Linked DNA regions of Macaca mulatta. The protein of the gene in region 1 interacts with the protein of each later gene in a pairwise test. Links are inferred from orthologs where the notes say so. Each region holds a gene or a part of one and is shown on either strand. Other genes may lie near its edges.

Region 1 (4,047 bases):
CTCAAAAAAAAAAAAAAAAAAGAAAAAAAAAGAACAAGATCTATAGTGTGAAATAAAATAAGACCATTCCCTTTACTCTTTCATTTTGTTTTGTTTTGTTTTACTTTGCAATGCTCTCCATTGAGAAGGGATTGAATTCATAGCAGTGTATCTAAAGCTATATTTTAATTATCTGTACACAGATGCTTACACTTTAAGGTAAATAATCTCTTCAAGTGAAAGAAACATGCTTCTATTGATAGGTAAACATACTTAATTAAGGGCAAAGAAGAAAGGACCTTCAAGGCAATACTTTAATCCCTTTGCAAATACATACGATTATAGAATTTTAGCTCTGCCAAGGATATCTTCAAGTCGGAGGAAAATTGTACCATGAAGTATATCATTCATTTCCTCATACGGATGCCATTCTCAAACTTCCTCTTGTGCTCATAAATTCGCAATTGTGCCATTCAGATATTATTCAAGAAAGATTCAAGAATCATGGTAATTATAGTTAAGATTCTAGAATCTAGAGGAATGGATATCATTATGCCTAGAATTAATTATGTTTCAGAAGAATGATATTTTTCTTAGGAAAAGCTGATTATTTCAGTGAAACTCAAGTTACATTAGTAGCTGAACCAAAGACATTCTCTTTCTGGAAGATACTACCTTTTTCTGAAAGATAGCCTGAAAAGTGGTTGCTTTAGCCTTGATTCACTTATAAATTTTGTAAAAATGTGACCATATTTCATTGCCCAGTTTGTTAAACTTTACTGTACAACTTTGGGAAAAAAAAAAAAGTGTCACCAAAATGCAAATAGGCATCAGAGACTCATGAAAGCAAGCTCTGAGACTATCATTTGTTGCACACTATTAATAAAATCATTTGTGTGCTTGTCACTCATGTTACTTCTCAACCACCTCAGGAGCTGATGTTCACACTAATATTTTTAAATTATGAAATGAAATTATTAAATTGTGCTTACTACTTAGGAAAGAAAAAAAGAACATGGTTTATTTAAAAAGTACCATGGTGGGGGAAGAGTTAAAATTTAAACTTTCTGCCCTAGAAAGAAGGGTTTAACCTTAGATACTAAGGTTTTTTGTAAATTATTTCATTCAATCAATCAACATGTATGTGCCCATATATCACATATATATGAGACAGAAAGAGAGAGCCTTCTTGCTAAACATCACAATCAAGATTACTAATAAAACATTCCCTTCTAGTTACTTTTTTCTTTCTAATTGTCTTTTAGTCCATCTTTTCCTCTTAATAAGAATGCCGTCGTGTAGGAGATAGATATTGTTTGTTTTGGTTGCAGGAGTTTCAAAAACAGAAGAGTACTTAGTTTGCATTATGATTGCATCAGTAGCATTACAACTCATTTCCAGAGTGGTTCTTTGAAAACAGTAGCTTTTATTCACATTTTCATGAACAGTATGTGGATTGTTTAGAAAGATTAAAAAACAGGCCCTCTGAGAATAAATATGAATAACCCATAAACTTCTCCTTTAAAAAACAAATGCTTGGTAAGCAAGTTCTAAAATAGGATTGTTTTTTTCTCCTGCCTACTGCTATAAGTCTGTGCCTTTTTAGATTGTAGTGGGCTGTTGAGAAGAAAACACTAAGTACATGAAATATGTTGTGTGTTTAACTGCCCTTTCAGCCCTTTCAGGAAGTGAAATTTAACTATTCCATTCATAAAGACAGAGAATTCCTTAACTTAATCCTTGAATGCTTCAAAAAATCCAATGTAATGGCAATCATGTAACATTTAGCTATTAGGACAGTGGTCTCTGGGTTAAATTTTGACAAACGAATATAGTGAAATGAGAAAAAAAAATAAAGCCATATTAGAGAAACTAATTTTTCGTACAATTTTCATTCCTTTTCTGTATCTCAGAGGTTCGTTTGAAGATTCTACAACCAGATTTTACACAGCATGTGTGGTAGAAGCTTTTGCCTATCTGCATTCCAAAGGAATCATTTACAGGGACCTCAAGCCAGAAAATCTCATCCTAGATCACCGAGGTTATGCCAAACTGGTCAGTGCATTTCACACATGCTTTCTGCCCTGCAGATTTAAAATATTTGTTTATAAAACTGTGTTCATTTGCTAATATGAAATCTCAGTTTTCCTTTTCCATGTTGTAACTTTCTTAAAAGCAGGTTTTAGCATTACAATTTTCAACTGAATGTTCTTTCAAATGATGCATCAGTTATGAAAAATTAAGTTGGCTAAGTTTGAATTAACAATACTCTGGCAAAACACACTTTTATAAGCACGAGAAAACGTACTTACTGGCACGTGTACAGGCCTAGAAGTCCTTTTCTCTAGTCGGCTTTTTGCCATTCACGAGCAATGGGTTTTTATATTATGGAAAACTCTAAATCGTTTCCATATTTTAGATTTAAGAATAATGGTCACAGAAAAAAAAAAATGTGCTTTACAAGCAATGCTAGCCAGGCTATGTAATAGTAATAATAATAACAGTCAAAAGTTGTAAAGATTTACCATAGAAGAGAAGTTCTCTTATTTACAAATGCACAACTTTCGTTGGATCTGTTACAGCTTGATTCCATTTTTAAACTTTTTAGAATTGTTATTCAGCATGTGGTTTTTAAAGAAATCAAATCAGTGGCAGTTTTTTATTTGTAGTTTCAACCAAATCGTTTTAGAAAAAATAGATTTTCTGCAGTCAAGACTCTTCCTTCAAAAGAGTTCCAGAAAAATGAAGAATACATTATACTTTTATTTCTGTTTATGCTTACCAAGGGCAGAGTCACCAGTCTCATAACTATGTTACTTACTTCCTGCAACAATAAAATAACTTCAAATAATTAATACTAAATGAATTGTCAACTTCATTAAATCCAGCAGAAACCATTTATATTCTGGGAAAGATGTTAAGTAGGCCCAAGTGGTCTTTAAAAATTTTTATGTACAGAAGAGATTCTGTGTTTATACCCTAACCTCCATTAGCATAAACAAAGGAAAAATGAAAACTATATTCAGAAAGAAAGATTTACCTTTATTTTTAATGATGTGAATTTTATGCTATACTCAGATGTCAACTTTTCCAATTAAAACTGAGTTTCGTCAGGGAGACTTTGTTTGCAATACAGACTATTCCTTTGAGAAGATAGAACTATAAAAACGTGCATGTTTTTAAATTATTATGATCATCGGTGTACTTCAGCAAAACAATTTATTACTTTAAAACGTAATCATAAGAAGCTTAAGTATCTTGCTTTTCTCTCTTTGAAAGGTTGATTTTGGCTTTGCAAAGAAAATAGGATTTGGAAAGAAAACATGGACTTTTTGTGGGACTCCAGAGTATGTAGCCCCAGAGATCATCCTGAACAAAGGCCATGACATTTCAGCCGACTACTGGTCACTGGGAATCCTAATGTATGAACTCCTGACTGGCAGGTATGGATATTGATAGGGAACTGCTGATAAAAATAGACCGGCAAACAGCTACACACTCCCGCTTTTGTCACTCTGATTAAACCATCTTAAAGTACATTTCACCATATCTTGGTACCACAGTTCAATTAGTTATACGAATGACCGGGAAAAGTAACGTATAAAATAGGTCAAGCTAGGGCAACCACCTCAGCACCAACTTTTGGTCTCATTATTGCTACTTTTTTTTTTTTACATATATGAATGTGGAAGGATATAATGTCTTTCCGTGAGATATTTTAGCCCAGTCATTTAGCCAGGAATGAAACAGGGGAGATGATAATCATATGAAAATATCTAGGGTCAATTCTCTATAGAAGTAAGAGGACCTGTTAGCAACTGTTATATCTAAATGAAAGGTGACTGCTTTGTAGATCTTTCCTGTGATGTTATAATCATAAACTCAAATAGGCACTAGGGACACCGCAAGGTATAAAGCAGACTTTAAGATCCTCAAGGACCCATACTAAAAGAACAACAAATACACTACCATGACATGTGCTAAAACAATGAGTGACAGGGGCGTTATACAGATTTCAGAATAGGGCTGGGTTCCTAAAGAGGCTGTTGAAGAATGAATATAAGGCAG
Region 2 (4,820 bases), on another chromosome or scaffold:
CAACCCGGCCAGTTCACAACCTGATCCCAACCTACTTTTGCCTCAGCTCCAGCGACAGAGTCCTCCTCCCGGCAGCGACCGAACCTCCAGCCACAATTCTCAACCCTCCGCCTCTAGATGCAGTTTCCTGGGCTCGGGAGCCCTTGCCTGCCTTCTCCAACGGGAAAGCCCCTTTACATTCTTCAAGAACCCCCTTCCCCAGTGCCCTCAGGAATACTTAATGGCAGGAGAGAGGTAAGGGCCCCACGCCGCTCTGGGCCTCAGTTTCCTCATCACTAAAATGGGGTCCCTGAAGTTTGTGGGAGTTTGAAGGGCGGTGGGGCCTACGAAGCGCGCCGAGGAGCCGAGAGTTGCAGAAACCCGGAGCTCCTCGCTCCTCGCAACCGTCTGTACGCTGCACCCCCGCCAGCCAGGCAGTCCCTGGAGGGCAGGACCCTGGGTTGACTTGTGTCGTTTTGAGCCTCGGAAAACGTGGCCTCGGGGGACGTAGCAACCAGGACTGAACGAAGGATGCGGGGATGAACAAATGAATGGACGGAGGGCCGAATGCGGGACAAAGGCTTGCAAGATGGCGTTCTCTAGGACCGCGAGAGTGGTGGCCCGGCCTCGGCCGGGGAGGGGGCCGCCGGCGCCGGGGACCTTGCAGCGCGGGCCGCGCGGCCGGGACAAAAGCCCGCAACATGGCGGGCTCTAGGACCCCCGGGCCCGCACCGAGCCGGCACGGCAGCCGCGCGGGCCGAGCCTGGGTGTCCGTCCGCAGCCCAGAACCGCGGAGACAGTCGGCGGGTTCTAGGACCTGCTGGGCCCGCAATGCGCCCAGGGCCGCTCACCGCCCGCCCCGCCCGCGCTGCTCGCGCTGGACCAACCCAGTCCGCCCTCGGCGCCCGCAGGGAAACTGAGGCCAGCTCGGATTGCGGCCGCGTGGGGTCTGCCCGGGGCCCTCGCGGCTTCCCGCCGGCGTTTCCTACCTGATGAGACTTGGGCTGACCCAGTGCTGTCGGCGTCGGCTCCTCGCACTGACGGAGCCCGGATCCTGCCAAAGAGGGGCCGGCGCTAGGACCCAGCGGGGGGCGGGGAGGCGGGACCGGTGGCCCGGCGAGCGGAAGTGAGGGACCTTCCTCAGCTAGGAAGGAAGGGAAAGTTCCCGGGGAACCTCCAGCCTATGGCGGCAGAGAAGCATCTTGCAGGAGGTCTCTGTGGGTGCTGAGGCAAGGGAACGCAGGGCAGGCTGACAGTATACGCCGGCCTCGTGTTAGTCTGGGGCCAGGTCACCGGCAATGTCTTCAAGAACCAGAAGGTGGGAGGACAAAAAGGCCATGCTCAAGCTCTGCAGAACCTAAGTCCGCTTATATTCCACAACATTTCCTTTAATAGCAACGAGTGGATTTCACGAAGTTTTCTCCATCTTCCTTAGGAAAAGTCTTCCAGGGAGCCCCACGAAAAGTGTCACCAAAGTACTGTGGCCAGGGTTGCAGAATCTTTTTCTCTCTCTTCTGCGCCTATTCAATATGCACCGGAACGATTCTAGCTGCTCTTGCCGGAAGTGTGGCTAGCGCAGCGCTCAAAGACACCTCGTTGTGACCTCCGTGGGCGGAGTCAGTAGTGCAGGGCCAGAACCTAGCGCCGGAAGTGTGTCTGCGTAAAACGGAGGCTTGGAGGCGGGACAGGCAGGGCTCCCAAAGCGGAAGTTTCGCGGGGAAGCTTTTGTACCTAAGGACACTTCCTGTTTCCTAGTAACAATAGGAAGTGTCCGCAGAGCTGGGGGTAGACTCCTGGCTCATGCCAGCTGCGCCCTCTTTTCTCTACCTCCTTCCTTTCCCCCCCTTCTCCTTTCCCTCTTTCCCTCCCCTCCCACCTCCTGGGAACCCTGGCTGAGTGTGCGTTTGTGGGAGCGCGAGAGCCCCCCGACAGCCACCCCTTGGGGCGCGCGGCTGCAGTTAGGGTAAGGGTCCCAGTGCGCAGGCGCGCTCCCGTTCGCGGTCCCCAACTGACGCGCCCGCGGCGGGAAGGAGAGGGGGCCGCCGGTGCGAGGTAGGCGTCCTGAAAGGAAATTGGCAGAGGAGATGAGTGAGGTCAGAGGACTCATTGGTGGTTGACTAGGGGAGGGGACTTTTGATCAAAGGGGCTTTGTGAGGTGAGAATTCCGGGGGCAGGTTCAGTGAAGGCGTTTACGATGGGAGACAGTTGTATTGGGGTCCCTCCCATGGGAAGAAGAGTTGGAGAAGGACGAGAGGATATACGAGGCATGAGCGAGCAAGGGCTTTGGGATGAAGACCGCCTCAGTTAGTGGGTTTACTCTTACGTGAACTAGGATAACAGGCATTGCCGTGTGTTCTGAAGATTGAGTGACACAATGAATATAGTTAGCACAGTGCCCGGCACATGGTAATATAATACTCTTCATGAGTTGCTGTCATCATCAGTATTAAGAGAGGAGGCAGAAGAAAAAAATGAGAAGGGCTGGTGAAGGTAAGATCAGGAGGCATGGGAGAGAAAAGGTAGGTGATGAAGTGACATTACAACCTGATATTGATGTTATTCACAAGATGGAAGATAGTTTGGGTTCAAGGGAAGTAGATAAAGGAAGTCGCTAAGAGAGTCTTTTGGGGTTTTTGTTTGTTTGTTTTTTGAGATGGCGTCTCGCTCTGTCACCCAGGCTGGAGTGCCGTGGTGGGATCTCAGCTCACTGCAACCTCCACCTCACAGGTTCAAGCAGTTCTTCAGCTTCAACCTCCCGAGTAGCTAGAATTACAGGCACCTGCCACCACATCCGGCTAACTTTTGTATTTTTAGTAGAGACAGGGTTTCACCGTGTTGGCCAGGCTGGTCTTGAACTCCTGAACTCAGGTGATACGCCAGCCTCACCCTCCCAAAGTGCTGGGATTACAGGCGTGAGCCACCATGCCTGGCCCAGTTAAGAGAGTCTTAACTCTCTTAACTCTCTTGTCACAAGGAAAAGAGACCTTGTGACACTGAAAGGACTCAGGGAAGCAGGGGAACAAGCCAGCCCTTTCCCTGAAGGAGGCCTCTAACCTGTCCTCTCAGGTCCTCAGCTATTAGCTGGAGGAAACAGCTGCTTTTTCAGTGCTTCTCAGCTACTCTGTTTAGCTGAGAGATGAAGGAGGAAGGTTTGGACTTCTCTTATTGAAAGGCCTAGAAAAGGTTCTGGTGTCCTTTTAAGATGTCACAGAAAATTTTTGTTTCAGGATTGTAGGGAGCAGAGTCCTACTGTCCTTAAAGGACAGTAATGCCTTTGGAGTCTGGTCTGAAGAACATGATAACAGGTCTGTGATCAGAAGTAGGTTGCATCTCTCTCGACTTTAATTTCCTTAGCTATACCTGTAGGAATGACTTAAGCCTAGGGGAGCTCCTATATTTGGGGAGCTTGTGCACAGGGAGGCCTTAAATGATGGTGCCTGCAGATTAGATCTAGTAGAAAGCAGGTCCCTGGGCACAGATGCTTGGGGAAACTCTCAGTGACCTCAGATGAACTTGTTGCTCGTATAGCCAAGAGGCGAAGTTAATTCAGGCCTTCCTTTTGACCACTGCCCCCTCTTCCTAGGCCTCGGCCCCTCCACCAGAGGAAGGTGCTGCCACGTGTCTGCTCCTTCTGAACCTCCAGGTTTCTGCTACATTGCCCCATGGAGGACGCACCCCCCTCACTCAGCTGTTCTGACTGTCAGCGCCACTTTCCCAGCCTCCCAGAGCTGTCTCGGCACCGAGAACTGCTCCATCCATCTTCCAACAAGGACAGTGAGGAGGCTGACAGCATCCCTCGGCCCTACCGTTGTCAGCAGTGTGGGCGGGGCTACCGTCACCCCGGGAGCCTGGTCAACCATCGTCGGACCCACGAGACTGGCCTTTTCCCCTGTACCACCTGTGGAAAGGACTTCTCCAATCCCATGGCTCTCAAGAGCCACATGAGGACTCATGCTCCTGAGGGCCGCCGCAGGCACAGGCCCCCACGCCCCAAGGAAGCCACTCCACGCCTCCAGGGTGAGACGGTGTCCACTGACTCCTGGGGCCAAAGGCTTAGCTCTGGTGAAGGCTGGGAAAACCAGACAAAACATACGGAAGAGACACCTGACTGTGAATCTGTACCGGACTCCAGGGCAGCTTCGGGTACGTGGGAAGATCTGCCCACCAGACAAAGAGAAGGCTTGGCAAGCCAACCAGATTCTGAGGATGCTGCAGACGGCTGGGGACCCTCCACCAACTCTGCCAGAGCCCCTCCTCTCCCCACCCCAGCCAGCAGCCTTCTTAGCAACTTGGAACAGTATCTGGCTGAATCAGTAGTGAACTTCACAGCGGGCCAGGAGCCCACCCAGTCCCCTCCTGCCGAGGAGGAGCGGCGGTACAAATGTAGTCAGTGTGGCAAGACCTACAAGCACGCCGGGAGCCTCACTAACCACCGCCAGAGCCACACGCTGGGCATCTACCCCTGTGCCATCTGCTTCAAGGAGTTCTCTAACCTCATGGCTCTGAAGAACCACTCTCGACTGCATGCCCAGTATCGGCCTTACCACTGTCCCCACTGCCCCCGTGCCTTCCGGCTCCCCCGGGAGCTGCTGGAACACCAGCAGTCCCATGAGGGTGAAAGGCAGGAGCCACCCTGGGAGGAGAAAGGGATGCCCACCACCAATGGGCGCACAGACGAGAGCAGCCGGGACCAGCTCCCCAGTGCACAGATGCTGAATGGCTGTGCAGAGCTTAGCACCTCTGGGGAGCTGGAGGACAGTGGCCTGGAGGAATACCGGCCTTTCCGCTGTGGGGACTGTGGCCGTACTTACCGCCATGCCGGGAGCCTCATCAACCATCGA
Region 3 (4,682 bases), on another chromosome or scaffold:
GCTGGAGTCTACCACCTACTGGCTGTATGCTTCTCTCCTCATCTCTAACATGAGGCTTAAATTAAATAACAGATCTAGCACAGATCCTGGCACAAAGTAGGAGCTCAGTTAATACCAGTTTTCTCCCCTCTTTCCTTTTGTATCACTATCTGAGAACTCAGCTCTCCATCTCCCTCTTCTGACTCAGCTCCCCAAGGGGCAGGGGCAGGGCCAGAGTCTAGGGACCCCAAGCTCTCTTCTCCCTATCTACCCAGGCCTCTGCATCTACTCAGTCAGCAAACAGAATTCCTCTGCTGATAATAAGCCCCAGAGAAAGTGGCTGAGGGGCAGTCCAGGCTCTGTGAAGTGACCCAGGAGAGGAGGCAGGGGGAGAGAGGTGGGTAACTTCAGGCCCCGACATTGTATTCTCTCAAGTCAAACTAGATGAATCTGATCATCAGGCACATGTACAAAATCACCCTGGGGCCCTGTATAACCAGAACCCACTTTATGAGCATTGTGTCCATGTGTTCACAGAAACGTGGTTGAACCTGAGTACTTTGTGTGCTCCCAGCATCATTCTTGGTGCTAGACACATAGCGGGTGAGGAACAGGATAAGGTCTCTGCCCTTGCAGGGCTCAGTCTGCTCCTCCAGGAGGTGTGGGGTGCTTCTGCCCACCTCTGTTACAAAGGCTTAGAGGAGAGACGCAGGGCTTTTTAGAAAGCTGAGGACCCATCATGTATAGTTCAGCCCATCGGGCAAGGAACCTAGCTTCCTTACACAGACCCACAGAACTCCTCATCCCCAAACCATGAGCCCTCTCAGCCTCCCAGGGATTCAGTTTCAAGTAAGTTTCACATGGCCGTAACTTCCCTACCCAAGATACTATTTAAATTCCCTGTTTTGTCACTTGGTGGCTGGGTGAGCTTGGACGAGTCATTTAACATCCCCTAGCCCCAGTGTCCTCACCTGGAGCAGTGAGGTAAAGACACACCCCTCATGGCATTCTGTGAGGGGCATGCAAAGTCCCTTGTGGAAAGCCTCAGATGCACCGTGTTGCAAGGGGGCCAGTGATTCCCCCGCTGCACTCTGACACGAGGTCCCAAGCAGAGGGGAGCTGACCATGGAGGTCAAGAGCCTGCGGAGACCACAACCTGGGGCCGAGCACCAGCTGTGCAGCCTCTCTGTGCTAAAGTGTCCTCTACAAAACCAGGGTGGAAAGAATGACTCCTGCTTTGTAGAGCTGTGGGAGTCATGAGTTACTGTATGGGAAGGGGAACAGTGTTCAATACACAGTAAGAACCATGTGTTTATTTTCTTGCGGAAACACATTTATGGGGATAACCAATCATGTCGTAGCAGCTAGCACATGGTTATCCTTCCAAGATGATAAAGGACACAGGAATGCCTCCCTTACCTCCAAGCATAAAGATAGGTACATCTGCTGTGAACATAAACAGCCACCCACCAAACATGCATGCGCGCGCGCGCACAAACACACACACACACACACACACACACACACACACAATGGAATCATTGATGGCACAAACATGATAATGACAATGGTTTTCTCCATTAGGTCAAAAATTGCAAGACACAGTTGGAAGTAGGATCATACCCTGGCATTCACGGCTGTGTTGAGAGGCACGGGCACTGGAGTTAGAGTCATACAGACCTGGGTTTGAGTCCTAGCACCACTCCATCTTGGTAGAATGACCTTAGGCAAGTGACTTAACCTGAGTTCCCTCCCCCATAGAAGTGTTGGGGTAGGGGAGTGCAGGGGGATGGGCAACTCCACCTGCCTCACTAGCATGTCATTGTCCCTCTGTGGGGGCAACACAATCGTTGGCAAGTCCTGACTCCTTTGGACCCCCCAGCCTCACAGTCCCGGGAAGCTTCCTCCTTTTCCCTGCAAAAGACCCTGCTCAGACCAGCTTTACTTCCCTGCGCCACCCCGGCGAGCAGCCTGAAAAGTGTTAGGAAACAACAGCTGCTGAGTTCTGGGAGGCTGGAGCGCTGGCCAGGGGTCCCAGACCCCGGGCTGCTGTTTACTCAAACTGCAGAGCCTCTATAGCCTTTACAACTGTTTCCTGGGCAGGAGGGAGCAAGACAGCTGGGCCTCTCTCTGGCCTCTGGCTTCCACTGGCTTTTCCTCTGGAAAAAGCCAGTCCAAATGCTGCTCACTCTAGGAATCGCTTCAACTCGGAGCCCTGGAGGAGAGCAGGGCCAGGCATGAGCCGGGCACATACACCCCCTCTAGGGAGCGGGGAACTGCACAGGCCAGGGGAAGCTGGAGACAAAAGAGGAGACAGGGACAGAGATAAAAACAGGGGCTGTGACCAGAACATAGGATGGGAAGGGCAGGGACAGAAATAGGGGCAGGGTTAAGGATCTAGACAGGTCATGCCGCCCAGGTTCAAGGCAGAGGGGCGTAGGGGGACAGAGAGAGAGAGACATGGGAAGCACAGAGGGGAGAAAGCCCTGCCTAGCAGACTTGCCTAAGCTGAAGACCCCATTGTTGCCACAAACGGGCCCACAGGAAAGCTACGGGTTGCAATCGCCTGTCACGACCCACATTTTCACCCTGAGCTGTGCACACTTTCCAACAGCAAGCAAAAGGAGCACAATCTAGTTAAGTTAGGACTGGCAAGATTCACTTCTGATTTAAAACTTAAGACAGCAACAATAAAGATACTCAGCTGAAATGCCACCCAAGAAAGCCAGCTCCCCTGGAAAGTTAAAGTTTAGCGCCCCCATCCCAGCACCCTGTACCTTTAAGGAGGAGAAGATTCCCTCTGCTTCCCAGCCGAAGAGGCAGGTTATTCTAGGATATAGGGGAGGCTTACCTAAAACTGAGTTATTCTCCTTTCCTCCTCTGGCCAGCCTCCCTTCACTCTGGGGAGCTTTTACCATTTAAGGTCAATGTTACATCTGGCTCCGGAGCTCGGAGCCGAGAAGCCTCTGGCTGTAGAACCTCGGCCGCACGCCTCCTCTGAGAGGGGCTGGGACTTAGAGCCGAGAGCTCCTCTGGGAGCCCCCTCCGGCCTGGCTCGGGGCATAATGGCAGGGAAAGCCGACCAGCTGGCCTCAGGGTTCAGGGCAGGCTGGGCCTTTGGGGCAGTCGCTCACCCTGGGCCCTTCCGATGGGTATCCACACAGCAGATGGCAGTCCCCATGGCAACTCATGCCACTGGACACTGTCCTGGCTGGACGGGGACAAAGGGACCCTGCAGATCTCGCCACCCGCCTGGAGCCTCCAGCAAGCATGTGAGCCTGGAGAAGACCCTGGGCCAGCGCCAAAAGAAACTGGGAATGGTTCCTGTCCTGGGGATTTGGGGGCAGGGGCTGCTTCCACTGCGTTAAACTCTTGGGATTGCCAGAGAGAATGGCCTGGGAGATTCAGCTACTCCCAGACTTACCAGACTTGGCACAGGCCCCAGGGGTGTCAACCCTGCTCCTCCACTTAACAGCCTGTGGTCTTAACATCGTGGAGCCTCAGTCTCCTCATCTCTAAAGTGGGAATAATAATGATAATGCCTAACTCACTGGGTAGTCAGGGGATTAAATGAGATATTAGTCAAGTGTTTAACACACTGCCAGCATCTCATAGAGCTAGATCAGCACGAATGAGCTTCCTGCCCCTGCCCAGGAAATCCACACCCTGTCCATACACACTCTTCACCTGCCTTGGGTATAGGACCCGCCCAAGACCAGGGTCATGGAACTCCAAGCTGGCGGCAAGCTACATGGGGACTTCAGCCCCTTCTGTGGTTAGAGCGGCACAGAGAAACCCTAGGTAAAGTTGCTAGATAAATTACAGGACACCCATTTAAATTTGGATTTCAGATAAACATGGGACATACTTGTACTAAAAGACTGTTATTTATCTGAAATTCAAATTTAACTAGTCATCCTCTATTTTTGTTTGATAAATCCCGGAACCCTAGTTTTGGCCATCATTAGCCATCTAGAAAACATTCAGTATTCATGGTAGAGAGCACTAGGGATTGGAGCTCCAAGGCCTATGGCCTCAAGCCCTCCTGGCAAACACAGTCCTTATGCTCAGCTCCTGGCCACAGATCAGTGGTGCAGCAGTGGCAGACGTTCTCCACTGAGCCTGGCCCACTGAGCCTCCATCCCTTCCTCAGGCATGTGGTTCTGAGGAAGTCCTGTTTTTTCTGTGTAGTTGTTGTAAGAGAGATCACTAACAGGGGTGTAGCGCATGAAGTCTGCTACCCTCATCAATAATTGTTTTTCGTAAATGAAACCAGAGCAGGCTGTCTTAGGTAGTAGCCAAGCTTTCTCTCAAGTGTCCACACCTGTCCACGTGGAGGTGCAGGCTCCCCACACAACCCCCGTCCCCTGCAAAGCCACATGGCAGTAACTACTAGAATTGCAAGTATATGGTATAGAAGGAACCGACCAAACTCTTCAGTGCTGTTTCTCCAACTTCAATGTGCATTAGAACCCCCAGTTTTGAAGCTCCTTGGGCTCCTCTTTCAGAAATTCTAATTCTATGGATCTGAAATGGACCCAGAAATCTGCATTTTAGTGAAGACCCTTGGGTGATTCTTATGCACTTGGTCCAAGGATCCCACTTTAGGGAATGTTGCTTCAAAGGTTGATCTTATGAGTCCAGCAGCAGGTACTACAGGGACAATCAAAATCAGAAGTTGAAATGGAACCTAGGGCTGGCTC

Evidence for each region. The genes of interacting proteins can lie anywhere in the genome.
Region 2: the proteins of PRKG1 (region 1) and ZNF646 interact in binary tests that used the Homo sapiens proteins (3 or more experiments, as listed by UniProt). The two-hybrid records come from large-scale screens. The link is inferred for Macaca mulatta from reciprocal best matches to the Homo sapiens genes PRKG1 and ZNF646.
Region 3: the proteins of PRKG1 (region 1) and IRAG1 interact in a two-hybrid assay, tested with the Homo sapiens proteins (2 studies listed by BioGRID). The link is inferred for Macaca mulatta from reciprocal best matches to the Homo sapiens genes PRKG1 and IRAG1.

What each region holds. Positions count from the first base shown.
Region 1 is NC_133414.1:97,475,081-97,479,127, reverse strand, and holds part of PRKG1 (cGMP-dependent protein kinase 1), read left to right. Parts: intron 1-1,892; coding exon 1,893-2,034; intron 2,035-3,258; coding exon 3,259-3,422; intron 3,423-4,047. UniProt on the Homo sapiens protein: Serine/threonine protein kinase that acts as a key mediator of the nitric oxide (NO)/cGMP signaling pathway. GMP binding activates PRKG1, which phosphorylates serines and threonines on many cellular proteins.
Region 2 is NC_133425.1:29,710,983-29,715,802, forward strand, and holds the start of ZNF646 (zinc finger protein 646), read left to right. Parts: upstream 1-1,713; 5' UTR 1,714-2,072; intron 2,073-3,562; 5' UTR 3,563-3,641; coding exon 3,642-4,820. UniProt on the Homo sapiens protein: May be involved in transcriptional regulation.
Region 3 is NC_133419.1:54,820,172-54,824,853, reverse strand, and holds the start of IRAG1 (inositol 1,4,5-triphosphate receptor associated 1), read right to left. Parts: upstream 3,108-4,682; 5' UTR 2,898-3,107; coding exon 2,831-2,897; coding exon of another isoform or gene 2,757-2,830; intron 1-2,756.